Linked DNA regions of Caenorhabditis elegans. The protein of the gene in region 1 interacts with the protein of each later gene in a pairwise test. Each region holds a gene or a part of one and is shown in the gene's direction. Other genes may lie near its edges.

What was found.
Region 2: the proteins of tac-1 (region 1) and zyg-9 interact in binary tests that used the Caenorhabditis elegans proteins (3 or more experiments, as listed by UniProt).
Region 3: the proteins of tac-1 (region 1) and lin-15A interact in a two-hybrid assay, tested with the Caenorhabditis elegans proteins (2 studies listed by BioGRID).
Region 4: the proteins of tac-1 (region 1) and efa-6 interact in a two-hybrid assay, tested with the Caenorhabditis elegans proteins (one study listed by BioGRID).

Annotation. Positions count from the first base shown.
Region 1 is NC_003280.10:14,752,352-14,755,648, reverse strand, and holds tac-1 (Transforming acid coiled-coil-containing protein 1), read left to right. Parts: upstream 1-1,771; 5' UTR 1,772-1,773; coding exon 1,774-2,002; intron 2,003-2,065; coding exon 2,066-2,402; intron 2,403-2,454; coding exon 2,455-2,671; 3' UTR 2,672-2,758; downstream 2,759-3,297. Other genes in the region: Y54E2A.4 (Activating signal cointegrator 1 complex subunit 3), read right to left, coding at 419-616, 664-884, 944-980; smg-9 (Nonsense-mediated mRNA decay factor SMG9), read left to right, coding at 3,160-3,297. UniProt on the Caenorhabditis elegans protein: Involved in microtubule formation, polymerization and assembly, regulating microtubule nucleation and length. Plays a role in pronuclear migration and mitotic and meiotic spindle elongation during early embryogenesis.
Region 2 is NC_003280.10:8,456,003-8,463,860, forward strand, and holds the start of zyg-9 (Zygote defective protein 9), read left to right. Parts: upstream 1-1,815; 5' UTR 1,816-1,818; coding exon 1,819-2,010; intron 2,011-2,056; coding exon 2,057-2,914; intron 2,915-2,961; coding exon 2,962-3,540; intron 3,541-5,042; coding exon 5,043-5,129; intron 5,130-5,228; coding exon 5,229-5,381; intron 5,382-5,430; coding exon 5,431-5,884; intron 5,885-5,931; coding exon 5,932-6,278; intron 6,279-6,476; coding exon 6,477-6,989; intron 6,990-7,106; coding exon 7,107-7,858. Other genes in the region: F22B5.6 (Serpentine Receptor, class J), read right to left, coding at 112-141. UniProt on the Caenorhabditis elegans protein: Plays a major role in organizing microtubules and spindle poles during mitosis and meiosis in one-cell stage embryos. Required for default nucleus positioning in oocytes.
Region 3 is NC_003284.9:15,730,347-15,735,884, forward strand, and holds lin-15A (Protein lin-15A), read left to right. Parts: upstream 1-1,621; 5' UTR 1,622-1,628; coding exon 1,629-1,907; intron 1,908-2,374; coding exon 2,375-2,464; intron 2,465-2,515; coding exon 2,516-2,953; intron 2,954-3,458; coding exon 3,459-3,563; intron 3,564-3,610; coding exon 3,611-3,778; intron 3,779-3,836; coding exon 3,837-4,916; 3' UTR 4,917-5,019; downstream 5,020-5,538. Other genes in the region: Protein lin-15B, read left to right, coding at 1-23, 77-1,150, 1,200-1,265. UniProt on the Caenorhabditis elegans protein: Synthetic multivulva (synMuv) class A protein. SynMuv proteins are required to repress the induction of vulval development.
Region 4 is NC_003282.8:12,611,720-12,616,653, reverse strand, and holds the start of efa-6 (Exchange factor for Arf-6), read left to right. Parts: upstream 1-1,929; 5' UTR 1,930-1,934; coding exon 1,935-2,084; intron 2,085-2,456; coding exon 2,457-2,604; intron 2,605-3,024; coding exon 3,025-3,264; intron 3,265-4,701; coding exon 4,702-4,854; intron 4,855-4,934. UniProt on the Caenorhabditis elegans protein: Guanine nucleotide exchange factor for arf-6. Involved in response to injury in mechanosensory neurons. Inhibits axon regrowth via microtubule dynamics, possibly by inducing axonal microtubule catastrophes.

The DNA of each region.
Region 1 (3,297 bases):
GGAATTCAAAAAAAATCAGTTCTTTTGACCTTTTTTTTGGCCTGATTTTGGCTTTTTGGTCTTTTTGGCCTTTTTTGCGTTTTCCGACTGTTTTATCTGGTTTTTCTTTATTTTTCGTTATGTCACAATTTTAAACAAAATTTATAAAATTTTCAGAAATTTTTCCGTAAAAAACTTGTTGAAACTCTAAAATTAGCCTAAAATCGATAATTTAATTTTTGAAAAACGTTTTTTGTGGAAAAATGTCCGAAAAATTGACAAATTATGTTCCAAATTGTAAAAAATGGAAAAAAAATAAAAAAAACAGCCAGAAAACCAAATTCAAAAAATCAAAAAAAAATTAGAAAATTTTTATAAATTTTTTCACTGTTATATTCTGCCATTTAGAGCAAATTTTTAAAATTTTCAAAACTATTACCTTCGCCTTCGCCTGCCTCGCATGCTCAACTTTCGCCAGCTCCTGGCTCTTCACCTCGAAAACTATTTTATTCCGTTTTTCGAGTATATCTCCGGCTAATTCGAACAATTCGACGCCGAGAAGATCGATGAGCTCGCCCTGTAGATCCATATCGGAACGTGTCGAGCACAACATTTGTAGAAGGTTTTGGGATATTGTCTGAAGGAAAATAGGTTAGAAACTTGATTTTTTAGCCGAAAATCAACCTCAAACGTATCTGGAAAATATATAAGCAATGTGTCAGCAATCGGCTGAAAAATGCTCCCAGAGCCCGAGGTAGAAGGCACTTGGGGTAGGGAAAGAGCTTCTGGAGCTTCTGAAAAACCTTCTTGTTCAGCTTCACAATTCGACCATTCTAGAAATTCCGATGGAAATCGAATTTGAATTTCCTGGTGGAAGCTTGCTACCCGTGATGGTGAGGGTGGATCTGAAAAAACATCTGGTAAAAATTTTTTTAATAAAAAAATGGAAAAAAAGCTAACTAACCATCTCCAATTCGTTCGATATAGTTGAGAAGATCCATTTTGTACCTAGTTTGGCAGCTGTAAAATTAGAATTAAAATTAAAATGAAAAACTATATTTTTCAAGAGAGAAGGATGTTCAAACATTGTTCAAAATTTCGCAATTTTTGAAAAATCGATTTTTTTCTGAAGTTTTAAGTTTTAATTACTTTTAATTTCTATTTTGTTTAATTGCCAAATATTTTTGTTTTTTTCTCTGTTTTAAGGTGAAAATTAATAAAAATGAACAAAATAAGGTCCTGGCCGCTTCCCTTCTCTGACCTAGCGCTTTCTAGGCCAACTGCACTTTTATTTGGCGGTTTTTTATGCAAAAGTGTATTATATTAATTTTTTTCGCAATAAAGATGTGTTTTTAATCATTAAAATAGTTTAAAATGAAGAGAAACATTGAAAATTGAAAGATAACAAAAAATGTTTTTAAAAAAATTCTACAGTACTTTTTAAAGGCGCAGTCCAATTTTTGTATTGATTTTCCCGCCACGATTACTCTTGTGGACTCTTTTTTCGTGCTTTTTTTGTTGTTGGTTATGGTTTTTACTGATTTTTTTTGAATTAAAAATTAAAAAATGACTTTTTTAATTAAAAATTTGTTTCAATTATTTTGAAACCCTCTTGTAAAGCCTTGTAAAACAAGAAAATTGAACTACAGAAGTTTTAAAGGCGCATACTAATCTTCAAAACAATTTTCCTACCACGAAAATAAATGATGACGCGGGAAAACTGAAGAATCGTTAATTTTCTCCGTTTTTCACGAAAAATGTCGGTTTTTTCTATTAAATTCATCCGATTTTCAGATGTCGCTCAACACAACCTTCACCAAAGAGGACGGAACCGAGGTCGTCATCCCATTCAACGGGTCGCAAAATGGGCATCCGGAGAACGAGGAGCCAGAGGTTGAAGAAGCCGCGGAGCCCAGTTCTTCAGTGGAGACACTGTGCGGTGCCACGAGAGGCGACATCATTGTGATGAAGCACACGACGAAGGCGCTCACAGAGTTGATCGAGCGGCTCTTGCACTCGGATGGTGAGAAGCTTTGAAAAATTGCTAAAAGAGATTTTAAGAGGAATAAAACCATATTAATTTCAGAATTCGAAGTCCGTCGCTGCTCAAACGGCCAAATCATCTCACAAGGCCGCTGCAACGGAACAACGCCAGGAAACGGCATCGGAGGCGGCGGGGCATCAAGCGAGGAGCTCGAAAAAGCGCTGAAAGATCGAGATGCCGCCCGTGCCGAAGCCGACAAGCTCCACGCCAACTACGCGACACTGTTCGCCTCGTTCAACACGGTTCGCGAAGCCGCCAACGACATCCGCGGCGAGTACGAGGACGCGAGGGACAAGCTGAAGCTCGCCGCCGCCGAAGTTGACGAGTGGCAGGCAAAGTTCCTCGCCGTCAAGGATAATGCGAATTCTGAGCTTGAGAGGTGAGTGAGAGAAAATTTAATTTGCAACATGTAAGAATATATTTCAATTCAGAGCATCCGTGGAGTACGACGATCTTCTCCGATCCCACGATGAGAACACAAAGGGACTCCGTCTGCGTGTAAAACGCCAGGAAATCGAGCTCTCCAGCAAGAACGACGAGATCAAGGTGCTCACGAACCGCGTGTCGGAGCTCTCACAGATTTGCGATCAACTTCTGAATGATGTCGACGTTTCCGATGGGATGTCCGTTATTTCGACGGATGCATAATTTATTTCTGTAAAATATAATATTTCTTCCCCCCGCCTTTTCGCTTTCCGCCTTATATTTTCTAATTGTACATGAATTTTTCAGCTTATTTATTTGTTTTCCAGATTATTTGTATGAGAAACAAGTACAAAAGGCTTCGTTTCAGTATTTTACCGAGAAAAACTACAATCTTCTAAATTTTCGCGCCAAAGATACAGCGCCCGGTCTCGACACGAAAAACATTTGCCAAATGCAAGCATGTGTGCGCCTTTAAAGTGTACTGTAATTTCCAGGCCGAATTTGTTTTGATTTTTTTAGTTCTCACTTGTTTTTCCAAACAATTTATGCGTTGTTACGAGGTTTTTGTAATAAAAGTCAATAAAATTCCTACAGTAATCTTTAAAGGCGCACACCTCTTTTCAGACTGCCGCATGGATTTTGAGCGAATTTTTTGATTAAAATGTATGCAAAACTTTCAAAATTTCTATTAAAATCTTGCAATTTTCCAGATGAAAAAAGTGGAAATTCTGAAAACATCTCGGCCATCATCTGCAGGAGGCGCTGCCCGACCCTCCACAGCGAGCCCAACTCATGGAGCACCGAAAATCGCCATCAAAACACGTCCGGTGGCCGATGACGTGGCGCCT
Region 2 (7,858 bases), 6.3 Mb from region 1:
ACTGGGATCAAATACTACAACAATTGTCATGTCCTACGTTGGAAATTTTAAAGAAAACTGTGAATGATTTTTCAACATGTTGTCTAGTTTTGAAATAAAAGAAAAACGTACTTGTACAAAAAATGGAATGTTCTTCGACATCGTCAGAAGAACGACTTTTTCGCTGACTCAACTGACACTGTTTCATGATACATTGTTTTCTTTTATACCGTATGTTTATATGTATGTTATTGTGTTATAGACGAATTTTCGATGAGACAAAATATGTGAAAATTTTTATTTAGAGTCAAAATATTATCTTCGAGTTCACCGTGAATTATATGATATTGCGCCAGAAGCCACCAGCTTTCAGGAACCGTTGGTAGGATAAGAGCCTCCAAGAAGTACGATGGACGTTTTTTTTGTGAGATCCACGTCGAGAGACAACACGAATTAACATAAGCAAAAGTACCATAGGGGTTTTTCATGCTTCTTCTCACGAATTGTTAAAATTTAGATTTTTTTATTCAAAAAAAAAAGGTTTAATAAACGCGTGCTGCATGCAACACTAACTTTCGGGCCCTTTTTTTTACGCGTGCTGCATACAACACTAACTTTCGAGCACTATTAGAGACTGCAGTATTATCAGAAAATAAATATGATGTTTGTAAATTAACAAGAAACCATCAAAAATATACAAAAACACACATTATTAGAGACTGTAGTACTATTGAAGATGCAGCGCTAATAGGAAATATACGGTATTTGAGAAATCGATAGAAAATCTGCAGTAACCAAAGTTTGCAACAACAGTACTCTTTAAAGACGCGCACCTTTTTCATTTATCAAAAATTTGTCGTGTCGAGACCGCACAGCATTTTTGGCGCCAAATTTCCTGTTTTTCTCGCGTTTCAAACGCGTTTTTTAGGCGTAGGCTCATTTTTGTCTTGTTACAAATCAAAAATTTTCATCTCCCGGTCTCCATATCTGAAATTGACCTTGATCGATGGCTTAAGCGCGCGAATTCTCCCTTCCAAAACACTTCTTGTTCATTTTGCATTCGTATTTTTGAAATAAACATTTCTTCGTTGCGCTTTAATTATTTTTAAGACCAAATTTCGCTATTTAACAGAGCTTTTTAGAAAATGTTTCCTTTCTTGTTCAGTACGCAGTTGACAGCCCCGTCGTTTTACGCGCGCGTTGCGTATCAAGCATGCCACTTGACGACATTTTTATTCGAACGCGCGGTAGAAAATAGTTTTGAAAAGCGCAACGGAAACCTTCTCGCTTTCGCACTTTTTCAATGAATATCAGTTGTTCCCATGTGAGCTCATCATTAAATTGTTTAAATAATTTGTCGTCGCAAGTTAAGCTTTTCAGTGTTTGTCGCACAGTGTTAAGCGTTTGTTCGAGATGTTTCGTCCTTTTTTTGAGATTTTGTTTCTTTGTGAAGCACTTCCATTATCTAATTAATCAAATTTATTATCTGCGTAGTGTTTTAGTATTCACTTGGCTCGAACAAAAAGTTGTATAAAGAATTCATTGATTTTTTGTCCTTTCTTTTTTTTTGCCGCGTAGTGCAACTGAGCCGGCCCGTCCGCCTCTGTTTCTCTGTTTGCGCTTCTTTTTGACGGGTTGCGAAATCGGTCGAAAATGGGCTTGCGGCGAAAAAGTTCCATGTGACCCCAATTACCCCTCGCAGTTCGAAAATATTGATTTTTTCCCTCTACGTTCTCCACCGGAAATCTATTGTTGAAATCTCCTTTCTCTTCAAAACTTATTTTCGTTCGCTTTCTTTGTTTATTGCAAGGCACGTAGTAAACTGTCATTTTTCAGATAATGTCCAATTGGGATTATCTGGACGAGGTGGATATCCTTCCCAAACTTCCACCGAACTTCGATGAGCTGCGAGAATCCAAAAAATGGCAGGAACGAAAAGAGGCATTGGAAGCACTTCTCAAAGTACTCACGGACAATGAGCGACTTTCAACAAAAGCTTCATATGCCGAACTTATTGGTCATCTGCAGATGGTTGGTTTTCATATTTTTCGGTCATTTCTGCAATCTCATTTTACAGGTTCTAGCAAAAGATGCAAACATCAATTGCCAAGCGCTTGCAGCCAAATGCATCGGAAAATTCGCAACGGGATTACGTGCAAAATTCTCTTCTTTCGCAGGACCACTTCTTCCCGTCATTTTCGAAAAAATGAAAGAAAAGAAGCCGATGCTCCGAGAACCTCTTGTAGACTGTTCCAATGAAGTCGGCCGTACAATGCAATCTTTGGAAACTGGTCAGGAAGACATTTTGGCGGCGCTGGCCAAACCAAATCCTCAGATCAAGCAACAGACTGCACTTTTTGTGGCTCGGCAGTTAGATTTGGTGGTTCCAGCAAAACAACCAAAAGGATTCATCAAAGCTGTTGTGCCTGTGTTTGGAAAATTGACTGGCGATGCAGATCAAGATGTCAGAGAGGCATCTCTTCAAGGTTTAGGAGCTGTTCAGCGCATCATTGGAGACAAAAACGTTAAAAATCTCCTCGGCGATGCTTCTTCCGATGAAGGGAAAATGAAAAAGATTGGGGAATATGCTGAAAAATCAACCGCTAGCTTCGCAGAAGAACAAGCTAAAAATGCTCCACCAGTCGCTCCCACTTCTTCGACACCTTCGGCAAGTGCTGCTTCGGGAGATCCATCCGGCGGAACAGCAACTGCTGTTGTTTCATCTGGAGCTCCAGTTGCGGAAGCCGATCCTTGGGATTTTCTTGACGCTTTCGACGTACTTTCCAAAATGCCCGACGGTTTTGATACCAACATCGAAAGCAAGAAATGGCAGGAACGAAAAGAAGCGCTTGAAGGTTTGCTTCAATTGATCACAGCGAATCCGAAGCTCGACCCAAAGGCAAACTATGGCGCACTCGTTGAGAGATTGCAGAAGGTATGTGTATTTTGTCCTGAAAAATTATTTTAAATTCAAATATTAAGGTCCTCGAGAAAGATGCAAATATCAATGTGGCTGCACTAGCGGCCAATTGTATAACTGGTATTGCTAATGGTCTCCGTACGAAGTTCCAGCCGTTTGCTGTGTCTGTGACTCCAATCATTTTTGAGAAGTTCAAAGAGAAGAAACCAACTCTACGTGATCCGCTGGTTGCTTGCATTGATGCAGTTGTTGCAACCACAAATCTCGAAGCAGTTGGAGAAATCGTACTCGCAGCGCTCGGAAAACCAAATCCAAGCATTAAGACTCAAACGGATCTTTTCCTTCAACGATGCTTCATGAAACTGAATTCACAGACCATGCCGAAGAAGACTTTGAAGACGCTGATCCCGTCGTTGATAAAACATTCTGGTGATTCGGATTCGGAAGTTCGTGAAGCATCATACGCTGCAATGGGAGCAATGATGAGAGCCATTGGAGAAAAACCTTCTCTGCAACTTCTCGCCGATATTGCATCGGATAATCTGAAAATGAGCAAAATCAAGGAGTTTCATCAGAAGGCGTTGGATGAAGCTGGGCCCGCAGAGATTGCTGAAATGGTCAAATCGATTCACAAAGCAGATGTGAGTTATTTTATTATTATTAACCAGCCGCTGACCGCGCCTACGGCGCGGGCAACGCCTGGCACCATTAAAAGTATTTGACACACATACCTTCAATCACTCAAAAAATTTCTCATCATGAAAAAAACTTGAAACACTTAAAACGCGGTTTACTGGCACTGTTACATGTATGTATTTTTCTACGACATGCATGTTTCAAAAATTCACAGACAGTATGAAAACTTTCTGTTATTTTTTGACCAAGACAGTAACCTTACAATACCACTACAGTACCTTGACATTATCCTCCACCGACTCCTAACCCAATACCTCTTCAAAGGACGAAATGCCAATTTTTCCAAAACTACAGTAACCCTACCGTATACCTACAGTACCCCTATAGTAACACTACAGTACCTTGACTTGATCCCCCATAAACTCCCGAATAACTACCTCTTCTAAAGCTCTAAGCTCAATTTTTCGGAACATTCCAGAATTTTCTCGATTTTTCTAGAAAGTTCTGGAACATTACAGAAATTTCTCGATTTTTCTAGAAAGTTCTGGAACATTCCAAAAATTTCCCAATTTTTCTAGAAAGTTCTGGAACATTACAGAAATTTCTCAATTTTTCTAGAAAGTTCTGGAACATTCCAGACTTTTCCCAATTTTTCTAGAAAGTTCTGGAACATTCCAGACTTTTCCCAATTTTTCTAGAAAGTTCTGGAACATTACAGAAATTTCTCAATTTTTCTAGAAAGTTCTGGAACATTCCAGACTTTTCCCAATTTTTCTAGAAAGTTCTGGAACATTCCAGACTTTTCCCAATTTTTCTAGAAAGTTCTGGAACATTCCAGAATTTTCTCGATTTTTCTACAAAGTTCTGGAACATTCCAGAATTTTCTCGATTTTTCTAGAAAGTTCTGGAACATTCGAGAATTTTTTCGAAATTTCCAGAAGATTCTAGATTTCCAGAATTTTAGAATTTTCAGAAAATTTAAATTTCCCGCAAAAATATTTTTCACAGAAAACTTAAATTTCTCGCCGAAATATTTTTCTCAGAAAATTTAAATTTCCCGCCAAAATATTTTTCACAGAACATTTAAAATTCCCGCCAAAATATTTTTCACAGAAAATTTAAATTTCCCGCCAAATTATTTTTCACAGAAAATTTAAATTTCCCGCCAAAATTTTGGGTCTTACCACGACGGGTCTCACCACGGTGGGTATTACCACGATGGGTCTCACCACGACGGGTCTCACCACGGTGGGTCTCGCCACGATGGGTCTCACCACGATGGGTCTCGCCACGATGAGTCTCACCGCGAAGGATGACAGACCCCGCCCACAATTCTCAGTGACTTTGGGTGTGACGTCACAGACTACAAAGACTACATAGACTACAAACTATGGAACAAACGGAATTATTTTTTTATATATAAGTAATGATAGTATTTAGAAGTATTCACTGATGATTTTTGTACTGCTTATTTGTAATTTTATTGTGAATGTGTTGTCAAATTTAGGCTCCGCCAGCTGCTGCACCACCGAAAAAAACAGCTCCACCGAAGAAACAACCGGAAGATGAGGAAGTGGTCGAGGAAGAGGATGAGGTGATTAAAATTGTGTTCTTATTTCCATATAGTAATTTGTATCGATTGTGTGGTCGTTTAAAACTGAAAACTTACAATTTTTTATTATTTTTTTTTCAGCCCCTGAAACCACCACCAGGCGATAAGAAGAAGAAAGTTCCCGTGAAGGAGAACGAAGAAAACGAGCCTCCCGTTGTTGCACCAAAAGCCGAACTTTTGCTCAGTGACAACGAGGATAAAAAGCAACGAATCAAGGAAGAGAAGCAATTAAAAGTAATTGCTTTAAATGAGTTAATAATCATACATTCTAATTAATTTGCAGTTAGTCAAATGGAATTTCCAAGCTCCGACTGATGAACATATCTCGCAACTTCAAACCCTGCTCGGAAACCAAGCGAAAGTGTCTCTAATGAGTCAACTTTTCCACAAAGATTTCAAGCAGCATCTTGCGGCTCTTGATTCTCTGGTTCGCCTTGCCGATACATCTCCTCGATCTCTTCTATCCAACAGCGATCTTCTATTAAAATGGTGCACTTTGCGATTTTTCGAGACCAACCCGGCCGCACTTATCAAAGTTTTGGAATTGTGCAAAGTTATTGTGGAGCTAATTCGGGATACAGAAACTCCAATGTCACAAGAAGAGGTGTCTGCATTTGTTCCATACTTGTTATTGAAGACAGGAGAAGCCAAAGACAATATGAGAACTTCTGTCAGGGATATTGTCAATGTACTTTCAGATGTTGTCGGTCCACTCAAGATGACACCCATGCTACTTGGTATGAGAGAAGAAGATCAATAATGTTCTAGTAATTTTTATTTTCAGATGCGCTGAAGTCGAAAAACGCTCGCCAACGTTCCGAGTGTCTGCTAGTCATTGAATACTACATTACAAATGCTGGAATAAGTCCGCTGAAATCGTTATCAGTCGAAAAAACAGTTGCTCCATTTGTTGGTGACAAGGATGTCAACGTCCGAAATGCTGCTATCAATGTTCTCGTGGCTTGTTTCAAATTTGAAGGTGATCAAATGTGGAAAGCAGCAGGAAGAATGGCAGATAAGGACAAGTCGTTGGTTGAGGAAAGAATAAAACGAACAGGAGTGAAACCGGGATCTGGTGTTGTCACCTCGCCGCCAACTGGAGGACCCAAAATTTTAGTGCCACAACAACAGGTTAGTTGTTTAAAATATTTCTCGTAATGAGTCAGGTTCCCTGAAAGATCACTTGAATCGGCCATACAGTCTTACGAGTTGGAAGTAAATAATATTTTTTTTTGTCTCAAATATTTGGAGTTAGTAGTGATTCCCTATTCGATACCCACGCGAAGTTTCGTTCAGTTTTTAGAAAACGAAAAATTACATGTTTTTCAGGGTTCGGTTGTTCGTCGTCCTGCTTCTCGATCTCGTACTCGTGAACCTGAACCAGAAGAAGTTCAAAGCGACACCTTCACTATACGACAAGACACAATGCCTCCAAAAACTTCATCTCGCTATGCACTTCGTGACGACGTCTTTTCGTCAGCCATGGGCCGTCTTGATGGCACTCAAGTCATCACTCCACCACAACCTGTCAATGGCTGGTCAAACAATACCTTCCAAATGAAGCGGACCAATTCTTCATCGTCGATTTCCTCCATAGACACTTCTGATCAAATCCAAAGAAGCATCAACAATATTTCGAGCAGTCTTGCAGATGTTGCTCAAGATGCTATGTTCCAGGTCACTTATGTTCTTAATCAACCTGAACAACGTCATCTTGTTGATCGACGTGCCGATTTGGTGTTTCGTGCATCTGCTGCTCAATTAGATTTGGTGATTGAAGAATTCAATGCTGGACGAGATGTCAGTGGAACTATGGACGCTTGTACGCAAATGCTTTTCATTGTAAGTTATATTTTTCATATGTCATAGTAATCAAGGGGAGTTCCGAAATATATCTGGCTCTCTTTGTTTCATTTAGTCATGCCATGTATATGTATATATCCAAATTTATCTTTTCAGTTGATGGGAGGAGTCGAAACTGAGCACGGCCTTGAGCCACTTAATGCGTCCCCCGACACAGTCAAAGCCATCATCTCTTCGGTCCTCAGATGTATCATCCAAATCGGTAACACAGAGTCCGGATACGGAATGGCAAGATCTCTCAATCGACTGGCAATGCGATTAATCTACAGAGTTGAGCTGTCTAATCTGTTGTGCGGATTGATTCTGGCAATGACTGAATCACTTCAAATGAACACCGGTATAACCGAACTTGTGTCGAAGCTCTCGTCGAAATGGTGTGATGAACTTGAAAAGAGAAGAGCTCAACTGAGAGCCTCGGATATAGTCGACTCATTCAATGCTTTCTACGTTTGTGCACTCACAGAACTTAAAATGGACATCAGCGATTCACACATTTTGATAGTTGATAACTATTTGGAGCGGGTTATCCTTCAGCAAGGAGACGTCGTCTTGGATGCTGCCCGTCGTCTTTCTCGACCACATATGCACTTGACCAGTATGATCAACAAGATTTTACAAATGATGAGAGAACGAAAAATTGATCCTATCATGCCTGGAACATTGGAAGCCAGAATGCCACAAGAGGATGAAGCAGTTGTAGTGCGAAGCGGCGTTCAAGTTTCGATCGACAATATTCTGCGTGATACCTCGATGGCAGTTAAACATATTGAGCAACTGAATATTCTCATTGCATCCAGTGACCGATCTTGGAATGAGTATATGGAATATCTCAAAAATAATCCAATGGG
Region 3 (5,538 bases), on another chromosome or scaffold:
ATCATCTTCGTGAAACGCCAGCGGTAAGTTTCCGTTTTTAAAATTGCACATTTTGAAACAAATTAATTGTTTTTAGGAATTGAAGAAACTTGGACAACAATACTTTGACTACCGCGAGCCCGAACCTGAGCCAGAGAGAAACGATGTGGATGAGCAAGAAATCATACCGAAACTCTTTCGCCAGCCACGCAAGCAAGTTCTGGAAGCTGATCAGCATGACGGAACTGTCAAGGTTATAGAGCAGGAAGATTTCAAGCTCCCAACTGTCAAACCGTCTGAAAATGAGGAATGCGACAATCCGGGCGTTTGCTGCTTCTGTTCGAAACGTGGCGACCGAGGTGGAATGCTTCGTGTCCCGAGAAGTGAGGAACGTTTGGCTAGATGGGTGGATAAGCTTGGACCAGAATTTGAAGCCCGACTTCACACCAATACGGAAAACCTAATTTGCCGAAGCCATTTCCCAGATGCAGCGTTCAGCAGTCGTGGTAGACTTTTGAAAGGAATGATTCCAGATGCTGCTCCAGAAAAAGTTGAGACCACGTATATCATTCAAGGGAACAACTTCCTCAAACTCAAAGAGCGCAAGTCTGGAACTGATAAGAATTCAGCCATTGATTTGGCGAATATGTTAAACCCCGACGGTGTTGAATATACTCAGGAAGAAGAAGAAGAAGAGGAATATGAAGAAATGTCAAGATCCCCAACGGAAGAGACTTCAGACGACGAGCCCAGTCAAGCAGCAGTTTACAACAATGCTCCAGTGATAAAACGTACCTATAGAAAGCGGGAGTTGTCAAACGAGGATGGACCTCTTAACTTGGTAACACCACCTGCTCATACTCCGAACCCAAGAGGGCGCCCAAGGAAGTATCCCAAGAATAGTGTAACACCAGAAGCTGAAAAAAGCCTCACCGACTACGACTACAATCCGGGAACATCTCAACGACGTGCACTTAAGAAAGGTTACGTACAACTCGAAGACGGAGAAATTGTCGGCGAAGATTGCGAATACGTGCCTGAAAAAACACCAAGTGGAAGATTGATTCGACAAGCTGTTGCTAGACGAAGCTTTGCTTTTGCTGATGAGGAAGAGGAGGAGGAAGAGTATGAAGAATCTCCAATTGTTAAAAAGCCCAAGATTGCTGGAAGAGTGAGTTTTTGAAAAATATATGCTTTGAATTATTTTTATATTTTTTCAGCCAGTCGGACGACCGCGCAAAGATGCTAATAAGCTGCCAACCCCCACACCACCCAGCAACGAATAAGTGGAAATATTTTCATCCACCGTTCCTGATTGTTGTTTTTATATATAATTTTTTCTCCATTGATGTTTTTGATGATTAAGTCATACGCATAGTTTTACCCTGTTACTTTGATTGCCCTTAAAATTACCACTTTTATTTTACCTATTTATTTTAATCATCATTCATCTGAAACCTCACAATGATGAGATGATCTCATCATTTTTATATTTTGTAGTTTTATATCAGTTTTATAAATGTTCACCGAAATTTGATGCCAACTGGTTTTTTTCTAATTCTTTCCAAATGGTTTCACATCACCAAATGACAATTTTCCTTTACTTTCCTATCTTGCTTATCATACACTATCACTTATTCAGATTCCTAATGTTGGCTCCAGCGGCTCCAGCTAAAGATGTTGTCTCGGCAGATGAAAAAGAAGAAATCATTGCGAAAAGAAAATTTCGAATGAAAAACGTTGATGCTATGCGAATGTCAAGCTTGGCGAACGATCGGATGGCTTTCAACAAGAAATGCAATGCCCTAGCGATGAAGTTTGTTAAAAGTGCCGGCATTGGAACGGATGCTCTGCAGCTCACATGTTTCCAGGAGCTCGTCCGGCATTTCAACCCAATTGCCGCAGTTGTTGTTGGTGTCAAAAGAGAGGTATGGCTTTTTAAGGATTTTCTCCCATTTTCTGATATATCTAGTTAAAGGTGGAGTAGCGCCAGTGGGGAAATTGTTAAAAACTACTCCTTTAGTGCCAAAAGGACCAAATATCAAAATAAAACTTTTCAAACATTTTTTGAAAATTTTTTATTTACTGTCAAAAAGTGACAATCATTCAGTGTTTGCCAATCATAATTTTGGAAGTCGACAAAAAAATGTTCTCCTACATTTAAAATGCAATTTTGTTTTGCCTACTTGTATTAAAACATTGTTGGGGTCGGAACATGCGACATTGCTGTGGATTTCCTCAAAAGCTCATATTTTTCATAGTTTTGGCAATATGCCAAAACTTTGACTGGAAATTATGAAAGATCTAAAAATTTTTGGAGTGTTTTATTATGATATTCGGTCGTTTTGAATCATGATAAGGTTGAATAAGAAGTGTTCTATCTTCAATGTTTCAGCCAAACTCCAATGTACAAGCTGAAAAAAAGACAATTCCAAAAGTCAAGACAATACAAACACCTACCCAGTCAATGGAATCTGTTCGATTGGTAAGCAGAAATGTTTGAAGATTATTCATAATAATGCGTATATGGTTTCAGCTCCAAGAGAAAAAAGCTTCAGCAACTGAAGAACAATCAGCTGAGTCTGCTTCGATCATGAAGCATTTTGCGAATACAATTCCAAACTCAACACCAACGCAAAGCGTGAAGGATGTTCTGACGGCGGCTGCAAGCAAGGGACAATTCAAAAGTAGCGCGGAAATTTTTTCACACTTTCCAAGTGAACCCAGCCCCTCGAAACCCCGTGCCACACGAGAGGGATCTCAACCGAGTGACTACACGTATTGTACCTATCTGACTCCGTGCATACTCTGCGAGAAGGCTCTTTTAATGCGAGAAAGCATTGCAATGACTGATAACGAAGCTGTGAAAGTTTTGATGGCGGCAGTGATGTCTGGCCACTTTAGAATGGCAACTGCAGAGAAAGCGATTCGTCATGAGAGGCTAAGGATGTGCTATGATCATGTTGATTTTGTAGTAAGTTGTTCAGTATTTTTTTCAAAATAGTTAAGTTTGAAAAGCTGTGAAAACTTTTCTAAAGCTGATTAGAACATAAATTCTAATTTAAAAGTTATTAATTTTATTTATAATTTTCATGGCAAAAGTTCAAAATTTTTGGTGTTTTGTTTAGTACAACCTCTATTTTATTTTATATATGTGATCGATATTAATACATTAGACTAGAAAACAAGAATTAAAGGACGATCCGTTCTTCAAGTCCTATGCACTACGGATCTGGGATTCAGGTGGTGCTCCCACTGAGTTATAATTTAAGCCACGTCCTAGCCGGGGACTGTGGCCGATAATCCTATCGTGGACTGCTCTACTTACCAATAGAGGCTGGATGAAAACCTAGGTGGTGAGGTTGGACTTGAACTTGTGACCTCCAGATTGCTAGCGGCCACCACTACCGACTGAGCTATCCTGCCCCCTTTTAGTTTAGAGATTTTAGTTTAAAAAAAACCATACACCACTTTTTCAGTACGAAATGATGTGCGACGCCTTTGAAGCTAAAACGGAAAGCGAGATCAATGAGATGCCACCGGACAGATTGATGCGTGGCCATGATATCTATAGAGCACTGAAGGTTTGATTGTCATATCTCGTTGTTCTACAACGGTGAAATGTTTTAAGAGAGTCGGCGACCTGCACAAAGGGAAGGTTACGTCGAACACTCCGCTTTACTCATTCAAGAATTCCATTAAATCTTATTACCGTAACCACGTGCCAAGGATGGTCAATGGGTCTCTCAGTAAACCGTCTCCCAAACCGTTCTCAGAGCTGGTTGCGCTTTTGCAATCGGTGAGTCTTGTGACACTTGTGAAAATTTTAAAAAAATTTAAAAAATTATTCGTTTAAGGTGCCTCCATCGACGAATCTAAATGAGTTGCTGAATCATAATCTTAGCCTCAGTGATGCTGATAAGCAAGAACTCATTCAACTCATCAATGGGAAAGATAATCGTTTCACATCTCGGAGACGGAAAATCGAGGATATTCTTGACAACAAGTTTGCTGCTGCAGCTGCAAAAGCTTATCGAGATCACAGTGAAGATGCACCTAGTGAACCGTATATTCCCAATCAAAGTGAGATGCAGAACACTGTAGAACGCAGAAAGCGAAAGCTTCATTCGCCTGAACAGGATGATGCTGGATCATCGAGTATCTCATGGAACGCAAAAAAAACGAAAACTCCAATTGACTATGTTCACCTAGCAACGCGTGTTTTGGAAGGTCATTCAATTGCCGACGAGGCGCTTTTGCACAAATCCAAAGTTTCTTATGCTCGTAATGCATTTGGTGAGAAGCCAAGCTCCCCCACTCCGCCATCTGCGCCACTAAAGTTCTGTGTTGTCAATGGAAAGAAATACTTGCGTTTTGAAAACGGAACCGGACCTCCGAAAGTTGTAGTTCAAGGGAATGTCGTTCTTCGCACTAATACTCTTAAAGACGCATTGACTACAGCGCCACGTGCACAAAACCAGCCTTCTACGTCCACAGACTCATCAAGCTCATCCGAGATGGAGGGAATACGTCAATCATTTGGGGCGCCTCAAAAGGAAGAAGAAGAAGAAGAATTAGTACCTACGCTTCTTCAAAACAAACCTACCCACGTGGAATCTTCGAGCCCCGTTGAAAAAAAACCACCAACCAAAACGAACGTAGAGAAACCAGCGGTCCGTCTAGGAAGAATGTTAACGACTGCATTTGGTTCAATGAGTTACCGAACAAGAAAATCGGTAGAGAATAAAACGGATCTCTTAAATCAGCCAACATCTGCCTCACCAAGACGCATGATTAAAGTTGTGAGAAACCGAAATCCTCACCTTGCGAAACAAGTGGCCGCCGCACCGAGTGAGCCAAAACATATTCCGCCAACGCACATGGAAAAGAAGCCGGAAGAGTTGCTCATGGATCCAAAGCCTGAGCCAATTTTTTAAACGTTCTTGATAACTTTGATTATTATCTTTTTAGTTCAATTTCATGTTTTTTTTAAACTGTTTTTTTCTCATCACAATCGATCTTATAAATATGTTACTTGTTATCAAAACTATTTCAAGAATTTCGAGTTTAGCGCATTTCGTGAGGAGGAAGTCTGAAATTAAAAGTTTTTGCAATGAATTTTTGTTCGGTCACACGGAATTTTTCAGGTTAGAAAAGTGTTTTGTGCGTGTTGGTTTTGTTGACGTCTTTTCAGAAAAAAAATTTAATGGTGTTTATTGATTGAAACCCGTATCCAAAAGATAAAACAACATACCGCAATTCCAAAAAAGAGCAAATTATGTTTGCCGGAAATGTTTAATTCCGGCCATTTGTCGATTTGCCGGAAATTTTCAATTCCGACAATTTGCCGATTTTCTGGAAGTTTTTAATTTTGGAAAGATGCCGATTTGCCGGAAATTTTCACTCCCGGCGATTTGCCGATTTGCTGGAAATTTTCGATTCCGGCCAATTGCCGGAAATTTCAGTTCCTGCGATTTGTCGGTTTTCCCGAAATTTTTAATTCCGGCAATCTGCCGATTTGCCAAAACTTTTCAATTTCGGCAATTTGCCATTTTGCCG
Region 4 (4,934 bases), on another chromosome or scaffold:
AATGTCATAAACGTTCGCCGTTTTGTGTGCACACCTGTTAGTTCGACATTTTCTATCGAAAACTTTGCATTCGTGGTTGGTGTTGGCATCAAGTGGATTAGCCTATTAGGGTCAAGAGAAGAGGATCTCGCCAATTTTATCGAGTTTTATATTGCCAGTTGTTTCGTTGTGTGTCTCCTCGCCTTTCGATTTTACACAAAATCGCTAGTTTTACAGAAAACATTCTGAAACAATAGGTGTAGACCAAATTGTTTCGTACTCCGTAGTTTTCTAAGTCCATTCATCTTTCTGCGAGGGACCAATTATCCAATGGAGATTCTTCTTCGCCTTCGAGTTGTAATACTCGTTCCGTTGTACTTTCGTTTTTGCCGACGAGAGCACGTGATGGCTCATTTCGGTTTGATCTACGTAGATCTTTAAAAAATGCGGGAGAAGAGTCACATTTTTTGGGCAAAATTGCAGCATTATTTGTAGATCAAACCTTAATCGGAAAGCCTCGCACCACATACGAGAGCTAAAAATTGCTTTAGCTTGGCTTTATATCGAAATTGGTTTAGCGTCATCTATCTTGGAAAGTTTTCAGTATAGCTCGATTTTTCTGAAATCGAAATTGTCGAAAACTTTGAAAAAATCGTTGATCGCTATAATTGCTGATTCCTGTGCAAATTTCGATAGCTTTAATGCAACAAACTCGCATAAATAAGTTTTTCGTTCCAAATTCCACAAAGTATCGCTTTTCCGACCTTCCCACGTTTTGGAACGTCAAGAACCTTCTTGGAGCTTCTAGTTTCATACAATTCAGCTCCAAATCACGCTAATCTTCCGTAGAAACTTTATGATACGGGGGTGAGGTGTGAAAACCCTCCTTACCGCCTAATCACTTTCTCTGGGGTGCGTCGTTCTGGAGACAATATTTGTTAACTGACTGATCAGTGTGCGCGGCGGAAATATGTGTTCCATCCTTCCGCGCAACTGTCAGCTTTTCGCGAGATTGCTCAAAACGCACCTTCGGGAGTCGACCAGTTGTTGTCTTCTGCACAGCGGGGAGGAATGGACGTTTAGTTCCACACCAGGTCTCTCTCTCTCTCTCTCTCTCTCTCTGTCTCTCTCTGTCTATCTCGAATTTTATTATACAACACTACAATCTGATGGGCAAACAGGGAGGTGATGGAAGAGGAGGAGGAGGAGACGAATGAGGTGTGACGTCGTCCCGGTGGTAACAGCTGTGCAGAGTTTTATGATTTTGTTGAAAAGATTTGTACTTTTTCGAATTGAGTGTAAGAATCTAGATAATTCGGAAAAATTTGCTTTTCCAGAAAGCGATTTTATCGCAATTTCTAAAAATCTTTTACTGTCAGCACAAACTTTCAAACTTCGTAATCTTTGAGACTGTCGATTTACGCAGCTCGTGTACTCCGTGAGAAGAAGTGTGCATTTATTTTTTTATAGTTTTGATCTAAAATTCTCGATTTTTGGTGTTTTTTCGCAAAGCATCTTGTATCAATTTCTCTCTTATTCATGCTCAATGCTAAAAAACTTAAATAAACACCATTTTAGTTTATAAAATATTTACATTAAAAAATAAGGAAATTTGAAAAAAAAATACACAAAAAATTAGCGAAAGTGGCCCAAAATTAAGCATTTTAGCCCGAAAAGTTGTGAATTTCTTATAAAAAAATCAAATTCTCCTCCAAATTTTTATTTTTTAATGCTAAAATCAAAAGGGAACTTTTCGAATAAATTTACGGTGCTGAAGTGTTTTTTTGTTGCTTCCGCTTGTGAATATTTTGAAAATAAACTCACCTCCATCACGTGTTTATATAAACACTCTGATGGTCATTGTTGAATTCGTCATCGAAATATTATACCTCTTGACACCTTTTCTATACTTTTTCAAACGTTTTTTATTCTACAATCATCTCGTTTTCAGAGTGATGGCGAAGGTGGCGTCGTCGGGAGCCGAAGAGGCACTGGCCACCATTGATGGAGCCCCTCGCCGGAATGTCAAAAAGTCCGAGGCTTTTGTAATGTCCGGTGATGTGCTCATTTCTCTTAATCGGAACGTTTCGAGCACTTATGCAAAGGTTTGGATTTGATTTTTAGAAAAAATTAAAAATTTCAAATGTTTTTCTTCCAAAAAATAGCAAAAATTTTGGTTTTTGGAAAATGTATACAGTTGAACTTTTCTCATTTTTCCAGCTCTCGGTCATTAAAATGTTCCAAAGACCTTTTTGAAGAATTAAAAAAAAAACTATTTTTCAATATATTTTTTTTCTGAAATAATGCTCTGCGATTTGAGGCCTCAAACTGAAATTTCTTTTCAAAATTTTTTTTAAAAATTTTTTAGGCATAAAAGTTGTGGTTTTCCAATAAATTTAAAATGCCCTCATCTTTTCATCCCTCCCTCCTGAGTGAAAAAAAGTGTTTCTTCTTAACCTTTTCCCTTCTTTTTTCAGCTTCTCGGCGACCAACTGCCTCCAGGTACCACAGTTGCATCGAGCATTCACCCACATCAGCTGTCAAGAGCCACCGCCTCTGCGGGAGTTTCGTTTCCATCGATGAATCGAAACGGAGCGGCGGCCCAGAAACTGTCAAGACTTCCAGGTAACACTTTACGGCTTTTGCGAAAAAAATGTGAGAAATTCTCCAAAAAAAGCTGAGATTTCCGTAAAAATCGCTTGAAATTTTGCAAAATTAAAAAAAAAAGCATTTTATACTCAAATTGGCTTAAAAGTTATATATAATGTGCCCGAAGTTCCAGTTCCGACGAAAAATACAAAAAAAATTGTGAAAAATTTTTCTGAAAGCTTAAAAAAGGTGCAAGTGTCAGCAGAACAGCTTACCTGAAAACTTTATATTTAATTTCTGAAAAAATTCTCTGAAAACTCTGAAAACTATAAAAAAAAAGCTGAAAATTTGGAATATTCGGCTCAATTTATAGAAATCACTTGAATATTAGCTCTAAAAAATTAGAAAAAACTGTTTTCCATAATTTTCTATCTTTTAATTCCAATGTTCTAAAAGTTCCAGTTTCAACAAGCCAAATCGAAAGACGTGGTAGTTTGGCACGAAAAACGTCAGAAGAGTCTTCACCAACAGCTATTCGAATGCTTAAAACAGCTCCAATTGAACGAATGGAGAGCACTGATGTAGAGGAAAGTGAAGAAGAAACTGTAATGATGACTACTGATGAAAAAGAGAATCAGAAGAAACCAAATGAAAATGATGATGAAGTGATGGTTGTTGATGAAGAACAATTTATTGGTGAGCTTTTGAAATTTTTAAACGAAAAAAAAATGAAACATCTGGATTTAATTGGATGCAAAAAGTTTTCGAAAAGAAGAAGAAGAAATCTCACAATTTTTACGATTTTCCATTGATTTTTAACCCTTTTTTCTAAACAGAAAAATTGTTTTTATAAAATTTCTAGAAATTAAAACATACCGATAAAAACATATGGCTAATTTTTTTCAAAAAAAAGAAACGCTCACGATCTTGATGACTAATTGCATGTTTTTGTCCTGATAAATCAGAATGTTTGCAATTTGTTTTGCAATTTTCTTACCAAGTTTTTAGTCCTTAAAACACGGACAATTGAAATTTTTTTCAAATTAAAGTGTTTTAAAATCGAAACAACTGATTTTTCCATATTTTTGGATTAAAACTTGAGGTTTTATAATTCAAACAATATATTTTCCAATTTATGGTTTTTTTTTCAATAAAAGTGTTTTTTAAAAAAATAATTGCTAACCTAAATCAACAAACTAGATCACCAAAATATACAAAAAATGAAAAAAAAACTGATTCCCTGCCTCTGACACTGAAAAGTTTTGCGAAATTCTAAACTTAAGCAATATTTAGCCCTTTTTTGGAAATTTCCGCCCCCAAAAAACTGAAATTTTGAAAAATCTCCTTATGATGTTCGGCCGTTTCTAGCCATTTTCAGTCTACTTAAGTATGAAAGCCAAAAAATCGGAAAATTCTTTTAAGTCCCTCTACTCTTTAGAATAGCTTCGAATTGCACAAAATTCGAAGAAAAACCCGAAACAAATTTCATTTCTAGAATGCTTTCCCGGAGGCGATCGGCACAGTTATAATAGGGAATGTTTTCTGTCTCTCTATCTATCCTTTTTCCACCGCCACCACATTTTTTTCTATCAATTTCCATTCACACATTTTTATTTGCGTTAGCACCCTCCTCCTCAGGCCACCCGGTAGTACTGTGTTTTTCTGTTGTGTTGAATGTTCTCTCACTTGACTGCACACTAACATTTTTATCCGTTTAGAGGTTGTTTAGCACTCATTTAAGAGGGTTTTAGGTTGAAACTTGGGGTTTTTGCTTGAAATTTGAGATCTTTATGGAAAAAATCGAGCTATAAAGTGCTAGAAAACTTAAAATAGAAATTTAAAGATTTTATAAACATTTAATTTTAAATTTTAACCAACGAAAAGTTGCTGAAAAATAAGCTGAAAAACGCTAACAAAATAAATTTAGTTTTTGAAATTTGAATATTTAAGAAAAATCTAGATTTCTGTTAGAAAATATTGCTCTCTTATTTTGAAAAAAATCAGTTTTCCTGCCGATTTTTTTCAAAAAATTATAAAATACATTTTCCAAGAACACATCAACGTATTTAATTTAAATATTATTTAAAATGGCATAAATTTCGCACTTTTCACATTGAAAACTTTTTTGTTCAGTAGTATCAAACGACATGAAATCTCCGAACGAGGAGATCGTTGCAAAAAGTCTTCGTAGTGCAATGTTCACAATGCCAACTGATAATCATCATCATTCGTACAATTCGTCACCACAAATATCCACACTTTCACCACATCTTCGATCGAATGGAGGTAACCTTTTTTGCTGGATTTTTTTTAGAAAAAATGAAATTGTGTGTGCTTTTTTTTTCAAATTTTACACTAAAAGCTAC